3 linked regions of the Tamandua tetradactyla genome follow. The protein of the gene in region 1 purifies or fractionates together with the protein of each later gene. This does not show direct contact. Links are inferred from orthologs where the notes say so. Each region holds a gene or a part of one and is shown in the gene's direction. Other genes may lie near its edges.

Region 1 (8,297 bases):
TCCCCCTCCCCTTCCTCCAGCACCCACGGTGGGACTTGGGCTCTGATGGAGGCAGCGCTGGGCGCTAGGACCGTCCCCGACAGGGTGCGACAAACCCACCCGTGGAACGACACGGCCTTCTTTTTCTTCGTGATCCCCTTGGCCGGGCTGAGCACCCCCCCGGGGGCCTCTGGGAGCAGCTGGGAGCGGCTCTCGACCCCCGCGGGGGGATCCCCGGCCTCGTGAATTTCTTTGGACTGCCAGATTGTTTTCACCACCACGCTCGCCATGGCATGGGGGGGTCCTGCTCCCAGGGGCTCTTTCCTCTGAGACTCGCCACCTACTCTGACCGCTGAACCTCAGAGCCCCTGCCCCCTCAGCCCGCCTCACAAAGGGCCCAACCAACTGGGCCCCCGGGTGGGGGTAGGGGAGGTGACCCAGGAAGGGAGAGAGGCCCTGGCTCATGGAACCTTCCAGAAACTCTCATGGACTACCCCCACCTCTGAGGCTTCCAATTCTACCCCAGCGTGCCCCCGGCCTCTCAGAGCCACACCGGACCTCCTCAAATTTTAGTTCAAGACTTACAACAAGTGGGCCCTGGGGTTCCTGGGGTGAGGGGGGGGTGTCCTCTGACCTCTGACTCCCCTCTTCCTGAGAACAAACGTGGGGTCATTACAGCCCCCCACTCTCATACTTGATGGTTGGCCCAATGCCGGGGATCTGGTGTTTTTGGGGGGCCTGGGAGGTGGTGGCCAATGAGCACGGATGTAAGCCCCTGACCATTTCCTACGGGGGAGCAACAAGACAGATGCACAGACAAAAAAACACTGGGCGTGGACGCATGATGGAAAGGGAATGGAAATGGGGTGACGGCAGGCACATACCTCTGTCAAAACATGTCGCTTTGTGCCCTGCACGTCTGTGCCTCTTATTGCATGTGCATTTTACCTGCTGAAAAAGAATCTAAACGTGATTGTATAACGATAAAGCTTTCGCAATGCGACTGTGTGATTGTGAAAACCTTGTGTCTGATGCTCCGTTTACCTACCTTATGGACAGATGAGTAAAACATATGGATTAAAAATAATTAAATAATAGGTGAACAAATGTTAAAATACGTTTAGTAGATTAAAATGCTAGTGGTCGATGAGAGGGAAGGGTAAGGGGCATGGTATGTATGAATTTTTTTGTTTTCTTTTTATTTCTTTTTCTGAATTGATGCAAATGTTCTAAGAAATGATCATGATAATGAATATGCAACTATGTGATGATACTGTGAGTTACTGATTATATAACAAGAATGGAATGATCATATGGTAAGAATGTTTGTGTTTGTATGCGGTTATGTTTCATAAATAAACTTTAAAAATGCAAAAAAAAAAACCACCCCCAAAAACAAAAAAGAATCTAAGTGAATATCAAGTTCCAGCCAAAAGCAGGCTGAAGCATCTGGGGTCAGGTACAGATGGACAGAGGGAAGGGTACACATACAAACAGGTGATAAAGCAAGTAAAGAAATATGTTAACGGTGGAATCAACGTGGGGGTAGAGGGTGTTGGCTCAATGGCGATTTTGACTTTTCTGAGTATTTAGAAATGTTCATCACGCAGTGATGGAGCAGAAACTGGCAATTGGGATGAAGTAATAGTGCGATCAAACGATCAAAAAACATGATGCTAAGCGAAATAAGCCAAATGCATGATTCTGCTTCCATGAACTCACCAGAATCAGCAAATGCATAGAGAGGGGAAGTAGGATGAGGTTATGGGGGTGGTGGTGCTGGAGGGAGGGAAGGGGAAGTGATTACTTAACGGGTACAGAGTTTCTGTTCAGGGTGATGAAAAATTCTTGGTAAAGGATGATGGTGATGGTGGCACAATACTGCGAACGTAATTAATATTGCTGAATCGTATGCATGAAAGTGGTTAAAATGGGAAATTTGGGGTTGTATGTATGTCACCACAATAAAAATTTTTAAAAATCCAAGCTGCAGAAGGACCGGGCAGAGAGGGCTTTAAGAAAGCAATCCAAGATCCAGGCAACAGAGGGTGGTGGCCTGGAAGGGGCTGAGGCAGGCCATGGGGTGGCTGCAGGCATCATGATGTGTCCTGATTTGGTTTGGGTGGAGGGGTGGGGAAGGATTCCAGAACAAATGTCTGGAGTTATGGCAGGTGCCCAAACGCGAAGACCGGGGGTAAGTTTGGTTCTTCTGGAGGAAATCAGAATCCGATGTGCATCATGAGTGGCCTTGCTCGGGTGGAAGTCTTAGAACTTCTACTAGTGGCTCAACCCATGTGCTCCTTGGCGTGCCCAAGGTTCCCTCTTACCGTCCCATCTTAAAGCCTATCATGGCTTGACCACACCTCCCTAGATCTCCTCCAAAGGTGGACTTGTTCATGACCTGGTCTTCCAGGTGACTTACCAGCAGATCAGCCCCAGCTTTCCAGAATGGTCTGGCCCCAGCCTGCCTGACCCTACTGAGAGCCTCTGACTGCTGAGCACAGGCCACGTGGCTTGTCCAAGCTGAGCCGGGCTGTATGTTTACTGGATTCCAAAGATTTACAAAAATAAGAACATAAAACAGGCTAAAATGATAACAGTTGGATACTGGATTAACTAAAATATACTATGGAAGTTAGGATCACCTGTTTCTGTTTATTTATTTATTTTAACGTGGCTAGAAATTGAAAACTAGATTGGAAATTACACCCAGGGTTCTCACTGTAAATCTCTTTTTTTTTTCACATGGTCAGGTACCAGGAATCAAACCCCGGGTCCTCGGGCATGGCAGGTAAGCACTCTCACCTGCTGAGCCACCGTGGCCCGCCCCTCACTGTAATTCTATGTGGACAGTGCTATTCTAACTCAAAGGGGGTCAGCCATGTCCATCCCTTCTCAGGCTCAAGACGCCCAGGGCCCAGGAAGGCAGCCCCTGGCTCCTCAACCTGCCCCAGTCTCAGGTCCTCATCAGACCTTAGATCGCTTCTACTTTAAGCCCAGTCTTGAAAATTAAGTTTCAGCCAATTAATGAGCTCCCTGAGGGAGGAGAGGCCAGGCTGAGTCCCCCATATACCCAGGAGGGGGCTAGGACATCCTTCACTCCACACCAAGAACCCAGAGTTAAATCTGTTTGTCCTTAGGTGGGCTCTGTGGGGGACATGGCGGTGGTGGCGGTGTTTTTGTGTGTGTGTGTGCGTAACGACCCCTCACGTCTCTTCCTCATAACCCCCAAACAGGACTAGTTTGAATTCCACTACTACTACTATATACTTTTAAAGGCGATTTCTTCAGGGACAAAGTGGTCCTCTCCAAGTCACCCACGAACAAGTCCTTGGAACGCTTAATGTTTTCCTCCATTAAAAAAAGGACTTGTTCAACTCCTGGTCCTAATAATACAATTTTTAAAATAGGATTGCCCCTACGTTCCCTAGGAGAAGCCAGTCTCCCCTTCGCGGTGTTAGGAATGGACTCGCCGGCCCAGACAGCCCCCCCTAGGATGCAGAATGTATTTTCCTAAACCCTATTCTTGGAAATCCAAATGGACGGATCCACTGAACCTGAGAGGTGGGCTCTTACCCATTCCCCCAGGATTCGGAGTGGACATTCCCAGGATCAGGACACTCCCCTAAGGCTCATTCCCGGGATACTTGGCTTCTGAGATTAGAAAAGGGTGGTGGGGTGGGGTTTTGTTCCTCGAGGTGACAGAAATGGACTCTCCCACTTCCCTTTGCCCCAAATTTCTCAATAGCCAAGGGCGCTGCAGTTCTGGAAGCTTTGTTTTCCCCAAAGCCAATCAACCAAACAGGGTCTCCGGAGCGCCGAGGGGCCGGGCCAAAGCCGATTGACCCATTCCTTACTTCAAAAAGCATTTTTTTTTCCTTTTTAGCTTTGCAGTACAAGGTTCCATTCTTGCCCAGGCGGAGCTGCGCATCTGGTGAAGATAATCACAATTTTTATTTGATATCTGCTCTAATGGAGGTTACCTGAGGCGTTGTTGTTGAAGAAAAACAAAACAAAACAAAACAAAAAACAATGAAAAGTGGCTATAGGCCAAAATATAGTTTAAATCTCAGTTTTGCCGCTGCCGAGCTGTGTGACCTTTGACAAGTCACTCAACGTCTCTGGACTTCAGGTTTAACTTCTGTTTCATGGGACTAGACGTGGATACAGTTCTTCTCCAGTGAGATCCCAGGTTTTCTGACAAGCCAAGTCCTGACATCTTAGAATCTAGAGAAAGGTGGCGGGAAGGAAGAGAGAATGCTCCTACAAATGAATTTAAGGAATTGGGGGGGGGAAAAAGGGAAACTAGGAGACGCTTGCGCAGTAAACACCTCCTAGACTCTCGCCCCGCCCAACCCCTTCTCTGCAGCAGGGAATTGCAGACGTCGCTCTACCTATCCCAGACCAGCTGAGTGACTCTTCCCCGTCTCCTTCCTTCTCCACCAATCATCGCCCTCCACCCGCCCCCACACCCGCCCACTCGAGGGCGGAAATAGGCCAGACCCCGCAAATCCGCGATGCCTGTGGGGGTGATCTGCCCCTCCACTGGCCTCTGTGCACTCAAGTCCCGCCTCCTCAGGCCCGCTTCCCCGCCTTCCTTCACGTCTTTTCATCCCCTCTCGGAGAGAGGCCAGGTCCAATCAGTATCCGACCCGGCAGCGCGGAGGGGGCGGTCCCACGGTACGTAACCGAACCCAGCCCGTCTCTTGGGCACCGCTCCCTCCCCCGTGCCCGAACGGAAATAGCGGGGTACTGGACCAATCGCAGCGCTGTACTTTTACCTAAGGGCCAATTAGAAAGCAGTAGGGGATGAGCCCTAGCCTTAGCGGCAGTAGCCACAGCCAACCCGCGGCTGACAGTTCCGGGCGGTGGAGTCGAGGGGAGGGGCCCGGGGGCGGAGCCGCGGCCTGTCCGCCCGCCCGCGCGCCCTCCCCTTAGTCCCGGCCCGGCTCCTCGGCGCTGCCTGAGATTCTCTACGCCTGGTCGCCGCCCGCCAGTCCCCGCTGCGCTGTGCCCTGCCCGGCCAGGCCTGGAGCCGACACCCCCGCCATCATGCCGGCCGTGTCCAAGGGCGATGGGATGCGGGGGCTCGCGGTGTTCATCTCCGACATCCGAAACTGTGAGCCCGCGGCCGGAGGACACTGGGGCGGGGGAGCGTGGATTTGGGGGCTTCGGAGGCCGTGGAAGGGCCCCGGGGGTGGAAGGCCAGCGAGGTCACAGCCAGAGAGGCGCCGGGGGAAGTTTAGGGTGGCGGGGATGGAGGGGCTGCGGGTGTCATCGAGTGCCTCTTGAGGTGACGACACGGGGAGGACCCGGGAGGGTCTCAGAGAAGGGGAGGCCCATGAGGTCCAGGGGAGGGGGGGCCAGGCGGCGTCCCTCGGGAACGGTGGAAAGGCTGACCGTGGGTGGGTGGAGTGTGGGTTGCATTGTGGGCGATGGGGGGTCCTGCTGTAGACCGGACTGAAGGAGGTACATGGGGGGTTCCTTGTGGCGCCGTGGAGCGGCAGGAGGCTAGAGCGGACCGAGGACGTGAAACACAGCAAGATTAGTGGGGCAGGGCTTGAGCGCCTGGAAAAGGGGGTGTCATGGATGAGAAGGGCTGGATAGGTCACAGGTTCCTTGCTAGGGGTATAGAAGGGGCTTGGGAGTGATAGGAAGTCCCAGGGGGCTTGGGGAGGGGAGATGGGGGACTGTAGTTGGACCCTGGTGAGAGATAGGGGTTTCCAGGATGGGGGGTGGCTGAAGAGATGGGGGGCAGTGGGGAGGGGGCTAGAGGGCTGGTTGTGGAGGGAGTCATGAGAGAACCTGACACGTGGGGTCAGGAAAAGAGAGGAGTTTATTTCAAGAGTAGGATGAGGCTGGAGGAATGTTCCATCGGGTAGGGTGGGGGGTTGCCCAAAGCTCTAGGAAGGAGGGCCTGAGGGGTTTGTGGGGAGAGATCTGGAAAGCTAGGAGTGGGATTGGGGGTGGTGGTGATGGTCCCCGAGAGACATCAGGGGTCAGGCAGCAGGACAGCCCTGACTCCAAGCGTTTCCTCATCTGACCACAGCAGTTTAGGGTCAGTGATCCCTGCCGGAAAAAGTTGTGTGGACGGGAGGCCTGTCACCAAGTCAGCTCCCAGCTCCCGGGGCTGGCGTTGGTGTTCAGAGCTGCCAGGAGCTCAGGCTGTGTCTGAGTGGGCTCTGGGGTTAGCCAGTCCTGGCTTTGAATTTGTGTGCCAAGTGACCTTGAATGAGGGCCTTCACCTCTCGGGTGCCTTGTCTGTCAGATGGGCTGCCCAGCACCCCTTCCTGATGGGGTGGTCTTGGTCTTGTGTGTGGTGGGTGTGAGGCGTTTCACATGTGCCAGGCACCAGATGGACACCGGCTATTTTGTCATTCTGCCGGATCTGCGGAGGCTCCTGTTAAGTGCCCAGTGGTTATTTTAGAATTCAGTAGGTATGAATGGAGCTGGGATGTAGAAGGTGCTCAGTGGGCAGGAAGGATGGGAGCTATTGGGTGCCAGTTGATGGAGGTGAAGTTAGGGTTATTTTGAAAAGGGGAGGGAATTATGAGGGGTGGTTAGTCAGGCTAGGGGGGGTGGGGGGCAGCTGTTAGGACTGAGTGTGTGCTCTCTCCCGTGCCTCCCAGGTGGGTGTCCCTGGGCAAGGGTGTCCCCTGGATAAGTCGTTTGGCCTGTTTGAGGCTCCATTTTCTTGTCTGTAGACAGCACTGATAACAGCCCCTTGGCACTTAAGGCTCATTCATTCCTTCACTTGACAAATGTTGTTTGATCACTGTGGGGTCCCAGGCACCATCCTAGTCACCAGGGGCTGCAACAGAGAACAGGAGCCCCTGCTCTTGGCAGTTTCCATTCCATGAGGGAGATGGAAATAAACACACAAGGAGAACAATCAATGGCACAACATCAAGTGACGGTCGTGAAGGAAAATAAGGCAGAAAAGGGATGGAGAATGACCGGCATGGAGAGAGTGGTCAGTTTGAAGTCCTCGCTGAGGAGGTGACAATCCAGTGGAGACTTGGTGTGATGTGAGGGAGCAAGTCCTGCAGATTTTAGAGGAAAGAGGGGCCCGGGCAGGGGACTCAGTGTGTTCAAGGGCCCTGAGGTTGGAGCTCACTTGATGAGTTTGTTCAGATAAGGGTGCGGAGGCCTTATATGGAGCTGGAGCAGAGGCTGGGAAGAGGACAGGAGGCGATGACAGAGGGCAGTGGGGCGGGCCTTGTAGGGTTTTGTGGGCCACAGCCGGCTCTTCGGCTTTTCTCTGGAGTGAGACAAGAGCCACGGGAAGGTTTTGATCAGAGCAGTGTGATCTGATTTGGGTTTAAAAATAATTCCTCTGGCGGCTGTGAAGAGAGCAGACTGAAGAGGTAGGAGCAGGAGTGGGGAAGCAGATGAGGCTGCTGCAGGCATCCAGACGGGGACTGCAAGGGACAGTGGTTGGATTTGGGGCACGTTTTTTTTTTTCTTTACATGGGCAGGCACCAGGAATCGAACCCAGGTCCTCTGGCATTGCAGGCAAGTATTCTTGCTTGCTGAGCCACCGTGGCCCGCCCTTGGGGCACATTTTGAAGAAAAGCTGATAGGGTATGCAAAGGGCTGGAATGATAAAAAGTAGGGAAGGAAAGGGGAAACAGGTAGATGTCACTGCAAGACCCCAGAGGGAGCCAGAGGAGAGAAGGGGAGCCTCAGACCTGGGGGCAGCCGAGGGAATTCAGCCAGAGGAATTCAGACTGGAAAGCCGGGGGTCCTCTTGCCCTTCCTTTCTCTAGCAGCTCCACTGCTGTGCTTCCGGCTGGAGTGGGGTGCTGTGGACACAGCAGTGAATAAGTTGGGTTCCCCTGCATCTGTGGAGCGAACAGCCCCAGGGCAGGTGTATAAATTTACTGCGTAAAATTGTAGCTGCTTTCACCAAATTTTGTACACAGATGTTCACAGCACTACTGTCTGCAGTAGCCCCTAAGTGGGAACAACCCAAAAGTCCATTGAGCGATGCACTGGAGAACAAAATGTGGCCTGTCCGTACATTGGAATTTTATTCAGCCATGAAAAGGAGTGAAGTTCTGAAACCTGCTTCGACATGGATGAACTTCAAAAACTTGACGCTGAGTGAAAGAAGCCAGACACAAAAGGCCATGTATTATGTGCTTCCATTTATGTGAAATATCAGGAATAGACAAATCCATAGATAGGAAGCAAATTAACGGTTGCCGTGGGGAGGGAAGAATGGGGGGTGCCAAGTTTCTTTTCGGATTGAGGAAAATTTTTTGGAATTAGATAGTGATGTTGGTTGCTCAACATTGTGAACATCCTAAAAGCCC
Region 2 (7,810 bases), on another chromosome or scaffold:
TATTGATTTGGTTGTCCCCACTGCTTGTGAGAATATCAGAAATTCTCCAGTTGGGGAAGTTGAATATTTCCCCCTTTCTTCCCAGTCCCCCAAGGGGACTTTGCAAATACTTCCTTATTTACTGCCCAAATTACTCTGGGATTTATCAGGGCATTACATTAACCTGGACAGACCAACAAGATCTCATGCCCTATTCAAGATTCCATGTACTTACAGCGTTCAACTAAACAGGCCATATGAGTTAAATTAGGTAATGTGCTACCCAAGATACAAATTTTAGGCCAGGTTTTTTGATAGGCCATTTATGTATTGTCTCTAATCCTTACACCACCCTACAGGGTAAGTATTATCTACAATGTACACATGAGGAATCAGAGGCTTAGAGACCCAGAGGCTTTAAAGTGTCCTAGAAAAAACAGGTAAGTCTTTTTAGTCTGCTCCTTGAAGCTCATTCTTGTTACAGTGAATTAGATCATAACATATCTTCCATTAGCTACATTTTGCTCTCCTAAAATAGATTTGGGATATGACCTAGTGCTTTGATGAGATCTGGGACACACATTTGCAAACTATCACTGCTGTGTCAGTTTAAAAAATCCAGTTCCAGACGTTTTAGGCCTTTTTAGGAGTTTGGACCATTTTCTCCCACCCCTGTAGACCTGCTTCCATCCCCTACTACTTATCAAGTTATTGATTTAATCCAGAGCCAAGGAGGGGAGGAAGTTGGTGGCACAAATTATTGGTAGTATGGAAGGGAGCCTGGGGCAAATTTCATAAAATTTTTCTCTCTTCTGTTTTGGTCTGCTAAAGCATTGGATTTTTTTTTTTTTTTCCTGCATGGGCAGCCAGAAATTAAACCCAGGTCTCTGGCATGGCAGATGAGAATTCTGCCACTGAGCCACCATTGCACCGCACTAAAGCATTGGCTTTTCTGCATTTTTTTTGGGTTGTTGTTGGTGGTGGTGCATGGTCCAGGAATTGAACTCAGGTCTCCTGCATGGAAGGCAGGAATTCTAACCACTGAACTACCCGTGCACCCCAGCACTGGCTTTTAAAAAGGGGATTTATTAAGTTACAATTCTAGGGCATGGAAATGTCCAAATTAAGGCATTAACAAGAGGAAACCTTCACTGAAGTAAGGCCAACTGCATCTGGGTTCCTCTGTCACATGGGAGGGCACATGGTGACGTCTGCTGGCTCTTCTCTCCTGGGTTGGTTTCAAAATGGCTCTCAGCTCCTGTGGGTCCTTCTGGTTTCTGCTGGGGCATTTTCTTTCTTCAAGCATTTGTGCTTTTCTCCAAAATGTCTCTCTGAAAGGACTCCAGTAAGTAGATTAAGACTCACTTTGAATGGGTGGGGTCAAATAACCTAATCAAAAGGTCTTACCCAACAATATGTCTACCCCCACAAGATTAGATTAAAAGAACATGGCTTTTCTGGGGTACATATACATAACAGTTTCAAACTAGCACATTTTCTTTTCTTTTTTCCTTTCCCTTTTCTTTTCTTCCCTTCCCTTCCCTTTTCTTTTTCTTCTCTAAGGCCCAAATCTGCTTTCAGTGATCCTTCCTTAAACAAATTAGTTATAAAAAATGTGTTCTTTGGTTTTCTCATGTATGAAATGGAGATCCAAATAATTACAAATGAGATTATGTATATAGTTCTGTTTAACACTTTCGCCACAACTACTAGATGCCAGAAGTTGTGCTAAATGTTGTATGTAAAAACATTTATAAACTGTGAGGAGCAATACTGCACAAATATTAGCTGCCATTTTCTACTTATTATAAGTTGTATTAAATAATAATAATTCCTTATATTTCCTCAAAAACTTCCATACTGCTAATTTTGTGATTAGCAAACTGTGATTTGCTAATTTTCACATATGAGAGATTGAAGTTCAGATAATTTAAATGCTCTGTCTGAACTCACATACTAAATGACTTCAATATTCTATTTCAGTGTTACTACTGCACACTCCTTTTCTAGGAGTGTGTACACCAGGGACTCGACTCTATTCAACCAGAATAACATCTTGTATCTTATATGGTTTGGAGGAGACTTCTTGAACAGCAAGTGTGTTGGTTTGAAAGGATTTATGTACCCTAGAAAAGTCATGTTTTAATCCTGATCCAGTGAGAGCAACCATTTCTTTTAATCTCTATTCTGTACTATACACTGGAAACTCAATTAGATTATCTCCATGGAGATGTGACTCACCCAATTGTGGCTATTAACCTCGGATTAGAGGGAGCTGTGACTCCACCAATTCCAGGTGGGTTTTGACTTGTTTACTAGAATCTTTTAAAAGAGGAAGCATTTTGGAGAAAGAGAGAGCAACAGAGCAGACTCCTAAGAACCATGAGAGCCTATGCAGCCAGACGCCCTTGGAGATTAAGAAGGAAAACGTCTTCACGAAACAAGAAGCCTGAAGAGAAAGCTAGCAGATGTCATCATGTTCTCCATGTGTCTTTCCAGCTGAGAGAGAAACCCTGAACTTCATCAGCCTTTCTTGAGTGAAGGTAACCTCTTGTTGGTGCCTTAATTTGGACATTTTTATAGACTTGCTTTAATTAGGTCATTTTCATGGCCTTAGAACTATAAATTTGCAACTTAATAAATTCCCTCTTTTAAAAGCCATTCCATTTCTGGTATATTGCATTCCGGCAGCTAGCAGACTGGAACAGCAAGTAAAAGTAAACTCCCAAAATCAAGTTGCTCTACCACTTTCAGATTTCTTAACTAAATTCATGTACCTACAGCTTTAGGCATTTTCCTACATCTTATCTCATTTATCTTCACAACTACCTTAATGTCTTACAGCTAGAAAATGGGTGTTTCTGATGTCTGAGCACTGTTTTTTCCACTACACTGCACTGCTTTTTTTTTCTTAATGCAATTTTATTGAGATATATTCACACACCATACAAATCATCCATGTATACAATTACTAGTTCACAGTATCACACTGCACTGCTTTTCCACTACACTACACTGCTTTGGCTATTAGCAGTGTGACTGGGAAAATCCCTTTAGTCTCTGTTATGCCCAGTTTCCTCATCTGTAAGGTGCATATGATGATCACTATCTTCTCAGGTGGCTGTGAAGCTCAAATGTGATAACATGAAATAGAAAATTCCAATAGAGACATCAGTTGTGGTTCTAGCTGATAAACATACCAAAGCAGAGTCATTTAAAACAGTGTCTCCCCTTCACCCTTGAGGCAAAAAGAAAAATAGCAAAAAGAGGCCAAGGAAGACTCTTTGTTAAATAAGTGATTGCACAACAGACCTGTATTACTTGCTCTTAATGGATGGACCTTGTTGAAGGGGTCTGAGCAAAGTTAGGTGTCCCTGGGGACATTTTTGGGATGGTTTGCCTATAGTGGAAAAGGTCTAAAAACTTAGGTGGGGTCAGCTCCATCATGGGTTTGTTCAATTGGCGCTCCTAGGGCATCAAATGAGGACTGCTATGATAATGGTATCAGGGGTGTGGGCTTGATAGAGTTGTGGTTAATTGTCATGGGAAGCCACAGTGACTGAGAAAGGGAGACCAGTTCTGGGCAAAGATATTTATCGAAGCGCTCTCTGGGCTGGGTTAAACTGTGAGTGGTTGTGGTAGAGAGTCGGCCATATGTCCTCAGTTTAGTGGGGTGTAGACAAGCCCTCAACTAACTCTTAAAAACAAGGCAGATTGTAATAAGGATCGTATCAGAGCAATTAAGAGGTGGGGTGGGGAATTCCTAGAAGGCTTCTTGAAGGAGATGGCATATAAGCCAGACCTTTGAAGATGAGGGTTTCAAATGACTGGTTGGTTATTCCAACTGAAGGTGGCAGCATGGGAAAGTCTAGGAAGTCTTACATTTAATGCAGGCAGGGACTAAGACATGCAAACACTCACTGAGCACCTACTACATGCTAAGGTCTGAGGACAGAAATATATCAGAAACAGCCGTTGTCATTGAGGAGCTCAGTCTAGCAAGAAAACAGATATAAACAGTCATTCAGGTGATGATGACTTCCTAAAAGAAGAAATGTTGAACTGAAGAAGAGAGTAACTCTGATTTGAAGAGGTCAGGAAATAGTTTTCCAGAGGAGTTGACACTTGAGTTTCGTCTGAAGGAATGAGGAGGAGTTTGCTAGATAGATTAAAGCAAGAGTTAGGAGGTGATGCAGGCATCTAAGCAGGGCTGTGTTCTTTTATTGGCCAATCCATTTGCGGCAGCCAGCAGGCGAGGAAAGGATTTTTTTCCCCCTCTCACCTAGATTTTGACTTGGAGAGACAGTGATATCATACTCCAATAGTAGATGGTTAAATGAAAGATTTTGGAGTCAGACCTGGATTCTAATCCAGTTTATCTACTCAGGTGTATGATCTTAGGCAAGACACTTATTTGCGTCTCAGTTCCCTCATTCATACAATTAAAAAAATTAAAGCGTCTGGCACAGAGCCTGGGACATACAAAGTGCTGTTATTCTTTACCATTATTATCTCATTTAGCCCTCACAAGCTACCTGGACTGTGGGTATAAATTTCTCCCATTTTTCAAAAAACAGAAGCTCCGGACTAGGTAGGTGACCTGCCCAAAGATCACAGGACAATCAGGATTCCCCTCCCACTCCGCAGCCCCGTCTGCCTTAATTTCCTATTCGCGCGGGCTTTTCTCAGGCAGCCCCGAGGACAGGCAGCTCCGGTCTGGCGGCTCAAACTCCAGTGCCGAGGTTTGGGTTCCGCCGCGGCCTTCGCCGGGCGGGCGGGGGGCGGGGCCAGGCGGGGCGGGGCGGGCAAGAGGAGGGAAGTTGTCGAAGTTGGGGTAGACGCCCGCCTGCCCGGGCCTCGCCTCCGGCCGCTCCCTCCGCCTCCTCCCCGCCCGAGTCTCCGTCCGCCAGTCCTTCCTTCCCCTCCTGTGCATGATGGAAACACCATGGCTGCGGCGGCCCAGCTTTCCCTGACACAGGTAACGCCACCCGCCCGGCCGCCGGGGTCCCCCGGCCGGTGCCTGGCCTATTCGTGGCTCCAGACTTCTTCCCCCACTGTCGTTAGGTTCGCCGACCCGGGCAGCTTCTCCAGGTTCGCTAGCCTGGCGGCCGGTGTTGATGAGAAGCAGCGTGTGAGTGACTGGGGGAGGGCGCCATCCCGAGCCGGTAGCTCAGCGACGGCAGCCGCGACCCCGCCCCGGGTCCCTCAGTGCCCCCCCCTCGCCCCCCGACCGGCCCCTCTTCGCCGCTGCTGAGTGGACCGTGTCCCCCGCTTGGATCAACCCATGCCCGGCCCTTCTCACTCCAGTCAGCTTTCACCGACCCAAGAAAGTTTCCTTCTTCCAGGCCAGACGCACTCCCAGGTGAGCTCCGTGTTGAGCTCGCGTGGACCATCCTGACCCCCTGCTTCAGCCCTCGCCCCGCACGAGGCTCGCCCTCTTGGCAAGGCAGCGCGCTTCCCCCCTCAGAATTACCTTCCCGACGCACAAGCTCACTCGAAACTAGTCTTTCCCCTTTAAGTCGGCTTTTTTTTTTTTTGCCTACTGGAGTCCAATGAAATCACCCTCCTCCCCAGCAGTTTTCTTCAGTCATCCTCATCCTATCAATGTACTCACTCTGCTAACTCCTTATTGAGTTGAGTTTCTTCCCCTCCCGGTCAGGTTATCTTCTGGGCCAGATCCCGATTTCGAGTCTTTTCCTTTCCAAATCCACCTCCACCCCTGCCAGGTGGGCTCTCACTTAATCCCTCTCCAAGCGTACAAGAGGGAAACAGCCTTGAAACAAGCGTTTGCTTCCTCTAGTCTTGGTCCTGGGAACATTCACTGAGATTACTTGTCCTGGGGAATCTTCACCAAAATCTGTTCTTTAAGGTCTTTTCCTCTTGCCTTTTTGCTTCCTTCAGAGACCAGTCCTTGTGCTTCACAGAAGACCTCCCAACATCACTTACTCAGAGAACCTCTTTCCTCCCTCTCTGTCAAAGAAAGCCAATTGTAGTTGGCCAGTATGATAGCCGGTATGATGAGATGACAGGTGTCTGCCAATCCCTTCCTCTCCCTCTGACCCGAACAGGGCCATATACTTCCATGTTGGGGCCCAACCTTCCTGCCCACCGTGTGGAATTTTTCTGTTACCTTGTAGTCTTCTTGGCTTGGATTTGTCGGTGTTTAATAAGGCAGTAGGATCTTCTGTGTAGAAACAAGAGGCCTTGCTATTTTGTGCCTAGTACTCCACAACAGAAACTTAGTGATAAATGTCTTCTCCCAGGAACCAGGAGTTACTAATGAACAAGTGCTGCAGGTAAAATAACAAACTTCAGTTTGCAGGAAATAACAGTCTCATAAGTGAATGTTTATTTCTGCATTTATTTGGTGTTAGTTATCCTGATTTGAAAAGCAGATAGCAGGGAAGACCCCTTTAATATGGAATGTGGTGGCTAGAGTCTTGGTCTTGAATCTCTTTGGAAGGGTCTGCCTGAAATTCAAATTTGAAGAATGGCAACATTGACTTTTGGGTGTTAGCTTTCTGAGTGTAGTTAGTGACATGTACTAAACAAGATCCCTTTTGGCAGGCTACTGCTCTTTGGCTCTCTTGGCTAATTCTGGCAGGAGTTTTCTCCTCTGATACTTTTGTTCTTTTGAAGACTTTTATAGATTTGCTTCTTAGTTGTGTGTAAACTTTAGTTTCTCCCTGGGTAATACTGTTTTTAAAATATCTCTTTTCTCTCATTCATTTTGGTGATTTGCTTCAGGTTCTATCAGGTTTGTAGTCACCTAAGTGATTTATGTTCTTGTAGTTATATATTTAGGAGTTAACCTGTACCCACAGTAAATGATGAATTAGGAACGAGTGTTGTTCCTCAGTGTTTCAAAGATGAGAGAACATACTACATTGATGGTTCATTTATATTGATAATTCGAAAAAATCACTTTAGACTATTTTGATTTTAGAATATTGAAAGGCAGTGAGATATATTGTAAAGGCCCAGTAAAAAAGAACCTTTTCAATTGTTAGTATACACTAATGTGCCTCCTTGTTATTGTAGAACTTTGCAGATATGTAGGTTTTTAATTAAAAACATTTTTTAACTGCTTGAGTTTAACTGCTTAATTTGAGATAATGCAATCTGGTCTCACATTCATTATTGATATATTTATGTCACCCCCTGCCTTCCTCACCCTTTTCCCCCTCCCCCAACATGTAGGCATACTGGAGTGAGAAATCCTTCAGGGCAAGGGTAGCTTTTAATTCCTCTCTCTCCCCCAGTGCCCATCTTGAAGAAAATGATTAGTCAATGTTTGTCAAATGAATGATTGAAAATTCTAAAACACTCTATGGCAGTTATAAAGATTAAAAGGATACTGAAATTAGTTTCTGCCTCTGGTTGTGAGATAATGATGGGTTTGAGGTAGGTTCATTTTAACAAATATTTAAGTATTATGTGCTAGACACTGTGTTGGGATTGTCTTGTTTATGATTTTCTGCCTTTATTGATTAAGCGCAACTGACAGTTGCGGGGGAGGGAAATGTGAAAAATATTTTAATTTATGCCTTCCTTCCTCTTCCCCTGCTTGCCACCCAACCCTCAATCTCCCAACCCCCAAACTAAAGTAAATTGTATATTAGCTTCTAGAGAGGATAAGAATATTAGAGTAATGAAACTCTAGTTCCATTTTCAACTCTGCCAACTGAGGATATGCTAGTGAACAAAATAGATGACAGTTATTGCCTCCGTGGAGTTTACATTCTAGTAAGGGAGTTTGAGCTAGCAGATCTAAGGACCTTTCTAGTTCTTAACATTTCTGTTTTATAGATCATATTCTATGACTTGTAGA
Region 3 (7,494 bases), on another chromosome or scaffold:
TTTTCTTTATTTTTCATTTTCAAATATTGCAAACGATTCCAAATGCAGGAAAATACATAGAGTAACATAATCAATGTAGGTACCCACCACCCAGTTATATCAAATCTTACAACACTAACTTTCAGGTTGTGTTTAAGAAAATACATATTACAGATACAGTCTGTATTCTCAGTGTACCCCTCACCAATCGCAATCATCTTCCTTCCTTAAATTTGGTGGTGATGGGCAGGCCACAGTGGCTCAGCAGGTAAGAGTGCTTGCCTGCCATGCCTGAGGACTCGGGTTCTATTCCTGGTGCCTGCCCATGTAAAAAAATTAAAAAACAAAAAAAAATTTGGTGATGATGTTTTATATACTATCACTACAGATCTAGATAGCCATAAACAACAGATATTTTCAAGCTTTATATAACTGGCATACTATATATATGTATTGCAATTTGCTCTTTTTGCTAAGCATTATATTTTTGAGATTTAAACATGTCATACATTTAGCACTAATTAATTCTTTTTCATTTCAAGATAGTATTAACTTCATGAATACAATGATTTATTCATCCATTCACTTACCAATGAACATTTAAGGTGCTTCCAAGTTTTTTTTGAGATTACAAATAATGCTGCAATGAATGTTCTTTTACATGTCTCCTTGTGCTTAAAGGTTAGAGTTTTGTCAGGGTTTATACATAGAAATGAAGTTTCTGGTTTGAAGGGTATTACATATTCAATTTTATTAGACGTTGTCAGATTGCACTTCAAAGCAGTTCTACCAATTTATCCTCCTTTTAGCAGTCATGGTATCTCATGGTTTACATTTGCATTTTCCTGAATAGTAATAAAACTGAGCATTCTTTCATATCTTTATTGGCCAGTTGGGTTTCCTTGACTGTGAATAGCTGATTCATATATTTTGTCAACTTTTCTATCTGGCTTTTTTCTTACTGATTTTTAGTTCTCTATACATTCATACATTTAATCAGTATTTTTTGTGCATCTCCTTTATCTCAGGAACAGTTCTAAGTACTAAGAATACAGCTATATGTGATGCCCCGATAAATCCCAGAGTGATTTGAACAGTGAATAAAGAAGTATTTGCAAAGTCCCCTTGGGGGAATGGGAAGAAAGGAGGAAGTATTCAACTTCCCCATTTGGAGAATTCCTGATATTCTTGCAAATAGTGGGGACAACCAAATCAATAGGCTGAGCCCTCGATCTTGGGGTTTGCCCCTATGAAACTTATGCCTGCAAAGGACAGGCTAAACCTACTTAAAATTAGGCCTAAGAGTCACCCTCAGAGAGCCTCGTTTGTTGCTCAGGTGTGGCCTTTCTCTAAACCGACATGGGAAGTGAACTCACTGCCCTCCCCCTCTACGTGGGACGTGACTCCCAGGGGTGTAAACTTCCCTGGCAATATGGGACAGGAATCCTGGGATAGCTGGGACTTGGCATCAAGAGACTGAGACAACCTTCTCAACCAAAAGAGGGGAAAGAGAAATGAGACAAAATAAAGCGTCAGTGGCTGAGAGATTTCAAACAGAGCCGAGAGGTTAATCTGGAGGTTATTCTTATGCACTATATAGATATCCCCTTTTTAGTTTATGGTGTATTGGAATGGCTATAGGGGAGTACCTGAAATTGTAGAGCTGTGTTCCAGTAGCCATGTTTCTTAAAGATGATTGTATAATGATATAGCTTTTACAATGTGGATGTGTGATTTGTGAAAACCATGTGTCTGATGCTCCTTTTATCTAGGGTATGGACAGATGAGTAAAAAGTATGGATAAAAAATAAACAAACAATAGGGCAAACAAAGGTTAAAATAAATTGAGTAGACTGAAATACTAGTGGTCAATGAGAGGGAGGGGTAAGGGGTATGAGATATATGAGCTTTTTCTTCTTTCTTTTGCTGGAGAGATGCAAATGTTCAAAAAATTATGATGGTGATGAATACACAACTATGATATTGTGAGCCATTGATTGTACACCATTTATAGAATGTATGTCAGGAATGTTTTTATATTAGGAATGTTAGTATGTTTGTTAAGGTTTGACAATAAAAATTAAAAAAAAAAAGAATACAGCTATAAACAAAACAGACAAAAACACCTGCCCTAAAGGAGCTTACATTGTATGGAGGAAAGTAAACAATAATTTAGATTGATAAATAAAATAAAGATACAACAGATACTGGTCAATCCTACAGAGAGAAAATAAACAGAGAAGAGGGATAGGGAGCATGTGTGGGAAGGGGATTATCAAATTACAATTTTAAATAAAGTGATCTGGGAAGGTCTCACTGAGAAAGTGACATTTGAGCAAAGACCTGAAGGGTGTGAGGGAACAGGCAGAATGCACAGCACGTGCAAAGGCCTGATTAGTCCTAAGGTCAGCAAGGAATCCATGTGACTAAACAGAGTGAGTTGGAGAACGTGGCAGGAGAGGAAGTCAGAAAGGTGATGATAGCCAGAAGTCGTGAAGTCATCCTTTCTTGGTCACATGCCTTGGGAATATCTTCTCCCAGTCTGTGGCTTGTCTTTTAACTAGGTTAAGTTGACTTGAAGCCATATATTTTGAAATTTAACATGGTCACACTTATCAATCATTGCACTTAATTCTTTATACTTTCCAGTGTCTTAAGTAATCACTCTCATTCCCTATTCCAAGGTTGTACAGATATTCTCCTATTTTCTTCTGAAAGTTGTAAAATCTTGCTTTTCACATTTATATCTTTAATCCACCTAAAATAATGTTTTTCCTATATGGTGCGAGGTAGGAAAATTTTATAATTTTCCATATGCATACTCAATAGCCCCAGCACCATTTAGTGGATAATCTGGTCTTTCCCTGCTGTTTTAAAATGTCATATATTCTGTTCTAGTTTGCTAGCTGCCGGAATGTGATATACGAGAAACAGAACAGCTTTTAAAAAGGGGAATTTAAATGAAATGTGATCCCACCATACAGCATTCAAAAACAAGGGGGGGGGGGATTTATTTAGTTGCAAGTTTACAGTTCTAAAGCCATGAAAATGTCCAAATTAAAGCATGGATATAGAAATGTCCAATCTAAGGCATCCAGGGAAAGATACCTTGGTTCAAGAAGTCCAATGACGTTCAGGGTTTCTCTCTCAACTGGAAAAGCACATGGTGAACATGGTGACATCTGCTAGCTTTCTCTCCTGGCTTCTTGTTTCATGAAGCTCCCCGAGGGGGCATTTTTCTTCTTCATCTCCGAAGGTCTCTGGCTGCATGGGCTCTCATGGTTCTCTTGGTTCTGAAGCTTTTTCCAAAATGTTTCCTCTTTTAAAGGATTCCAGTAAACTAATCAAGACCCACCTGGAATGGGTGGAGTCACATCTCCCTCTAATCAAAGCTTAATACTCACAATGGATGAGTCACATCTCCGTGGAGATGATCTAATCAAGTTTCCAACCTACAGTACTGAATAGGGATTAAAAGAAACAGCTGCCTCCACATGATGGGTCGGCATTAAAACATGGCTTTTCTAGGGTACATAATCCTTTCAAACGAGCACAGTTGCTGAATATCAACTTTCCATATATGTGTGGGTCTGTTCTATATATTGTTCCATTGATCCATCTATCTCCAAACCATACTGTCTTAATTACTATAGTTTTAGAATCACTCTTGGTATCTCGTCCACTAGAGATTCTTGAGCAAATGAATAAAAGTAATTAAAACACTGCTCTGGGAAAAATATTCTTATCACTGTAAAGAGAATAAAATAGTTAAAACAGTGATTAAAGACAACGAGATTCATTTGGGGGGAAATGCAGTAACCCAGATAGGATATCACAAAGGCTGAAAATAAAACAAATGGAGAGAAAACAAGGAATCTAAAAGTAATTCCCCCCAAAATATTAACAAAGTTGAATGGATACAGAGAAAGCAGGAGAGAGAGGAAAGCATATGGCTTTGAAGTTTCAAGCCTAGACCCCTGTGTGAAATGATGAGTTTGATTTGTTATACGGTTTTGTGTATTTTGTTAACAATGGGGTATATTAAATATGAGGTCTGTGCCAGGGATATATATTTGGACGTTCCCTGCCTAGAGATCACCTTGAGAGGGGACAGAGGAGGAGCAAGAGTCTGAGCTTTGAGGAATTTTCTGGTTTAGGGGGTGGAAAGAAGAGGAAGGGTAGAAGAACATCTGAGAGATAGGATAACCCGCATAGTGCATTATAACAGTAATAAGGATTTTTCGACTAGATTTGATATGAGTCCGATTAGCCCAACACCTTTTGAGCCCCCTGATAGTTATGACTGCATTTTGTTCAAAGTCCCCAGAACAATGCTGGCGTCACAGGTAGTATTTAAGATGCATTCCTTGCTGGACATGGTAAAGACGCCCCCAGTCCGTCGTGTCTGTCACTGCAGTTCCACAGCTTGGCCGCAGAGGGCGGAATCTGCGGCGGCCTGGGAAACTGGCGGGGGCGCGAGGCGCCGCTCTCTCTCGGATCAAGCTCTCAGCTCCCGGCTCCGGGCTCTGGGCTCCCGGGTCGAGGCTGGCGGCGCTGAGCCGTTCTGCAAAGTAAGCGTAGCGCAGGCAGGTGGGTGTGAGGGCAAGGGAGGCAGCGTCGTTGGATCCGCCCGCAGTCTGCAGTCCCGCTGATCCCGGAGGCCTCCCCAATGGAGCCGCCGTTCCCGGTCGGAGCCCAGCCCCTTGCCGTATCCGCCTGAGATAAGGGGGAGGGGGAGCCGTATCGGCCCGGGGATGGGGATCGGGGGGGAACTGTGGAACACCGGGGAGGGTGTCGGCTAGTTGGAGAAACCGCCGAGCAGAGCAGGGGGAGGGGGCGCTGGCGCGGGAGGCGATGCCTGGGGGCCAGGGAGGGCGGGCGGAGGGGCGACAGGCTGCCTCGGCACCGCACCACGCCACCCCTCTCCGGCCGTGATTCCAGAGACCCTTGACTAGCGTCCGCATACTATCGAGGGTATGGAGATGAAAGGGCCCCTCCGGGAACCCTGCGCTCTGACCCTAGCCCAGAGGAACGGACAATATGAGTAAGTAACCACCTGATTCCCACAGAAGAGAGGAGCCTCCCCTTACCTCCCAACCCCAAACCACGACCATCCACCCTCTTCCCTCTGGGGTTTTGCGGGCAACAGGTTCAGACCCAGGTGTGAAGTGCGAGAGTGCTCTCCAACGGCGGGGCTCTCCCCCTGCGTTAAGTGGTAGATTGCGTCTATATCGCTCAGTGGGAGGACTCCGTGAACAGGGAGGAAGCCTGGGTTCTTAGTTCCTGCCCCTGCAATTGACGTGTGTTGTGTAACCTTGGGCAAGTTAATAAAGCTTTCTGGGCCTTAGTTTTGTCACCGGTTAAATAAAAATATTAACTACCTTACCTTATAGCCATTCTTTGGAGTTGTAACTGGGGGAATCATAAATGCAGAAGTGTTTTAGGAAAAGTAAAAGCCCTGTAGAAAGGCTTCATTGTTAAACTTACAGGCTTGCCTTTTCTTAACCCCATTCAACTGGTTCCTCCAGTCTCCCCACCCCCCTATTCCATAAAATTCAAAGACCTGCAACTTGCCCCAAGGCAGGGTCATTAATTCAGTAATGGTTTAGTGGAAGCCAGTAACTGCCTCACACATTGGCCTCACACATTGGTAGAGAAAAGGTGATGAAATGTGAAAAAGTATAAACATTTGACATTTTATCAGTGTATCACCTTCCACTCTATTTCTGCCTTGCACATAGGAGCTCAGTAAGACTGCTGACTGATTGAGCAAAAGATTGTTTTCATAAGCTGTCATTATATAGCTGCTAATCTCACTCCCTTGCCACTAAAGCCTCATCTCAAAAATTTCCCATAGTGACCATCTTATCCCATCCACATGTGCCCAAGCCTCCTCTCTTGGGCGTCCACTGCATTTCTTGATTTCTTCTGAGTTTAAAAGTTGTTGACCACTTAAATCCTACCATCTCCCATCATTGGATTCTGCCTAAAAACAGTATCTCTGAATTCCTGCTTTCAGACTCTAGACTGGATTTGTGTCTGTGCTGTCTAAACCTAAAAGAAATTCCCACTAGCCTAGGCTGCCCACTTCTTGCACTGTTGGTGCCACTTTAATTTAGCATCACCTGATTCTATAAAAGTAGTTCTTCCCTAGGTCCTGCTTAGTCAGTTCTGTTGATGTCGGAAATTCATATTGTTTTTCCCAGGTTTCCTCAATCCCTGGAAGACTGGTTTAATAAAACTAAATTCAATAGACAAGTGAATTGAAAACTGAAACAAACTGACACTTCCAAGGCTAGGATAGGGCAGAGAGAATGGATTTGGAATGCAGAGCCTAGGTTGAAATCTCATTTCTGCTATTTTTGAGATGTGACTCTTGGGCAAACCAATGAAATTTTTATCTCTTATTTTCCTTTTATGCCAAATATGATTATGAGGATTAGTTAAAATAACTGCTTTGTTGAGGTGATCACAGCCCAGGATCTGGTTCCTTGGTTTAGTAGGTTTGCAGCTTACTTGGCTAATAAGGGAGTGAATGACTGGCCTTGACATGAGCACTTCATCCTGTCTGGGCTCTTGTACTAGAAGTACTTTTAAACTTGCAGCAGTGGCTGTTCTATTTGAATCCTCCCCATAGAGAAATCAAATTCTTGTATTAGAATTCTGTGCAAGTTACGAGTATAATAACTAACATTTAATGGTTTTAATATGTGCCAGGTACTATTCAAAGCACTTTTCATATGAGGGTTAATATGAAAAAGTAATAATATCATCATTGTTCCCCTTTTATCAATGTAGAAATTGAGGCACAAGTTTGTCACTTGGTCACAGTTAGGAAGTAGCATACTTGAGATTTGAATCTATGCAACATAGCTCAGCTACTCCAGCTCTTAATTACTCTATGCTGTCTCCCAGCTGTGTACGGAGGCTACCATTTCAGTAACCTATCTCAGAATTATGTGGTCTGCTTTTTGAAATAATTTCTTAGAATCCCCTAATACCCTAATGCCATCTATGATCCTTAAATTCTTGTTTCTTGGGTACCTTCTCTGTCTTTGGTGTCCAGAACTTTTTTTACCTTTGACCTTTTTATCCTAGAACTTGAAGCCTATCTTAATCTTTACATCTGGAGCTTTTCCAATCAACCACAGGAGAAATTTGCTTGACAGACCAATGTTACAATTAAAACTAAATATTTTGGAAATGAGACATCAAAACACTAGGGTTCATTTCTTTTTCTCAAGGATAATAGATTATGATAGTACCTGTTAGTTCACCTTAAATCAAAATATGTGTTTCCTAGGAATAATGCTGAGTCAGCATTGACAATATGTCAAATACTGATTTCTGTTTGACATCTATCAAATTCTGATTCCATTGTTTTGCCATATGCCTTTTTAACAAATCTTTTTTGTTCTGAAACGAATTATTACATTTCAGTAGAATTTTTTTTTACTTTTTAAATTGTATAGTATAACATATATACAAAACAAAGAAAGAAAAAGTCAATAGTTT

What was found.
Region 2: the proteins of AP2A1 (region 1) and EPS15 purify together in Homo sapiens (affinity purification with western blotting; 5 studies listed by BioGRID and IntAct, with this or other methods). This does not show direct contact. The link is inferred for Tamandua tetradactyla from reciprocal best matches to the Homo sapiens genes AP2A1 and EPS15.
Region 3: the proteins of AP2A1 (region 1) and OCRL purify together in Homo sapiens (affinity purification with mass spectrometry; 3 studies listed by BioGRID and IntAct, counting the BioPlex papers as one, with this or other methods). This does not show direct contact. The link is inferred for Tamandua tetradactyla from reciprocal best matches to the Homo sapiens genes AP2A1 and OCRL.

Annotation. Positions count from the first base shown.
Region 1 is NC_135342.1:11,396,045-11,404,341, reverse strand, and holds the start of AP2A1 (AP-2 complex subunit alpha-1), read left to right. Parts: upstream 1-4,892; 5' UTR 4,893-5,031; coding exon 5,032-5,098; intron 5,099-7,904; exon of another isoform or gene 7,905-8,113; intron 8,114-8,297. Other genes in the region: TSKS (testis-specific serine kinase substrate), read right to left, coding at 28-269.
Region 2 is NC_135328.1:170,658,177-170,665,986, forward strand, and holds the start of EPS15 (epidermal growth factor receptor substrate 15), read left to right. Parts: upstream 1-4,761; 5' UTR 4,762-4,924; coding exon 4,925-4,957; intron 4,958-7,810. UniProt on the Homo sapiens protein: Involved in cell growth regulation. May be involved in the regulation of mitogenic signals and control of cell proliferation. Involved in the internalization of ligand-inducible receptors of the receptor tyrosine kinase (RTK) type, in particular EGFR.
Region 3 is NC_135353.1:34,136,067-34,143,560, reverse strand, and holds the start of OCRL (inositol polyphosphate 5-phosphatase OCRL), read left to right. Parts: upstream 1-4,445; 5' UTR 4,446-4,648; coding exon 4,649-4,687; intron 4,688-4,943; coding exon 4,944-5,023; intron 5,024-7,494. UniProt on the Homo sapiens protein: Catalyzes the hydrolysis of the 5-position phosphate of phosphatidylinositol 4,5-bisphosphate (PtdIns(4,5)P2) and phosphatidylinositol-3,4,5-bisphosphate (PtdIns(3,4,5)P3), with the greatest catalytic activity towards PtdIns(4,5)P2.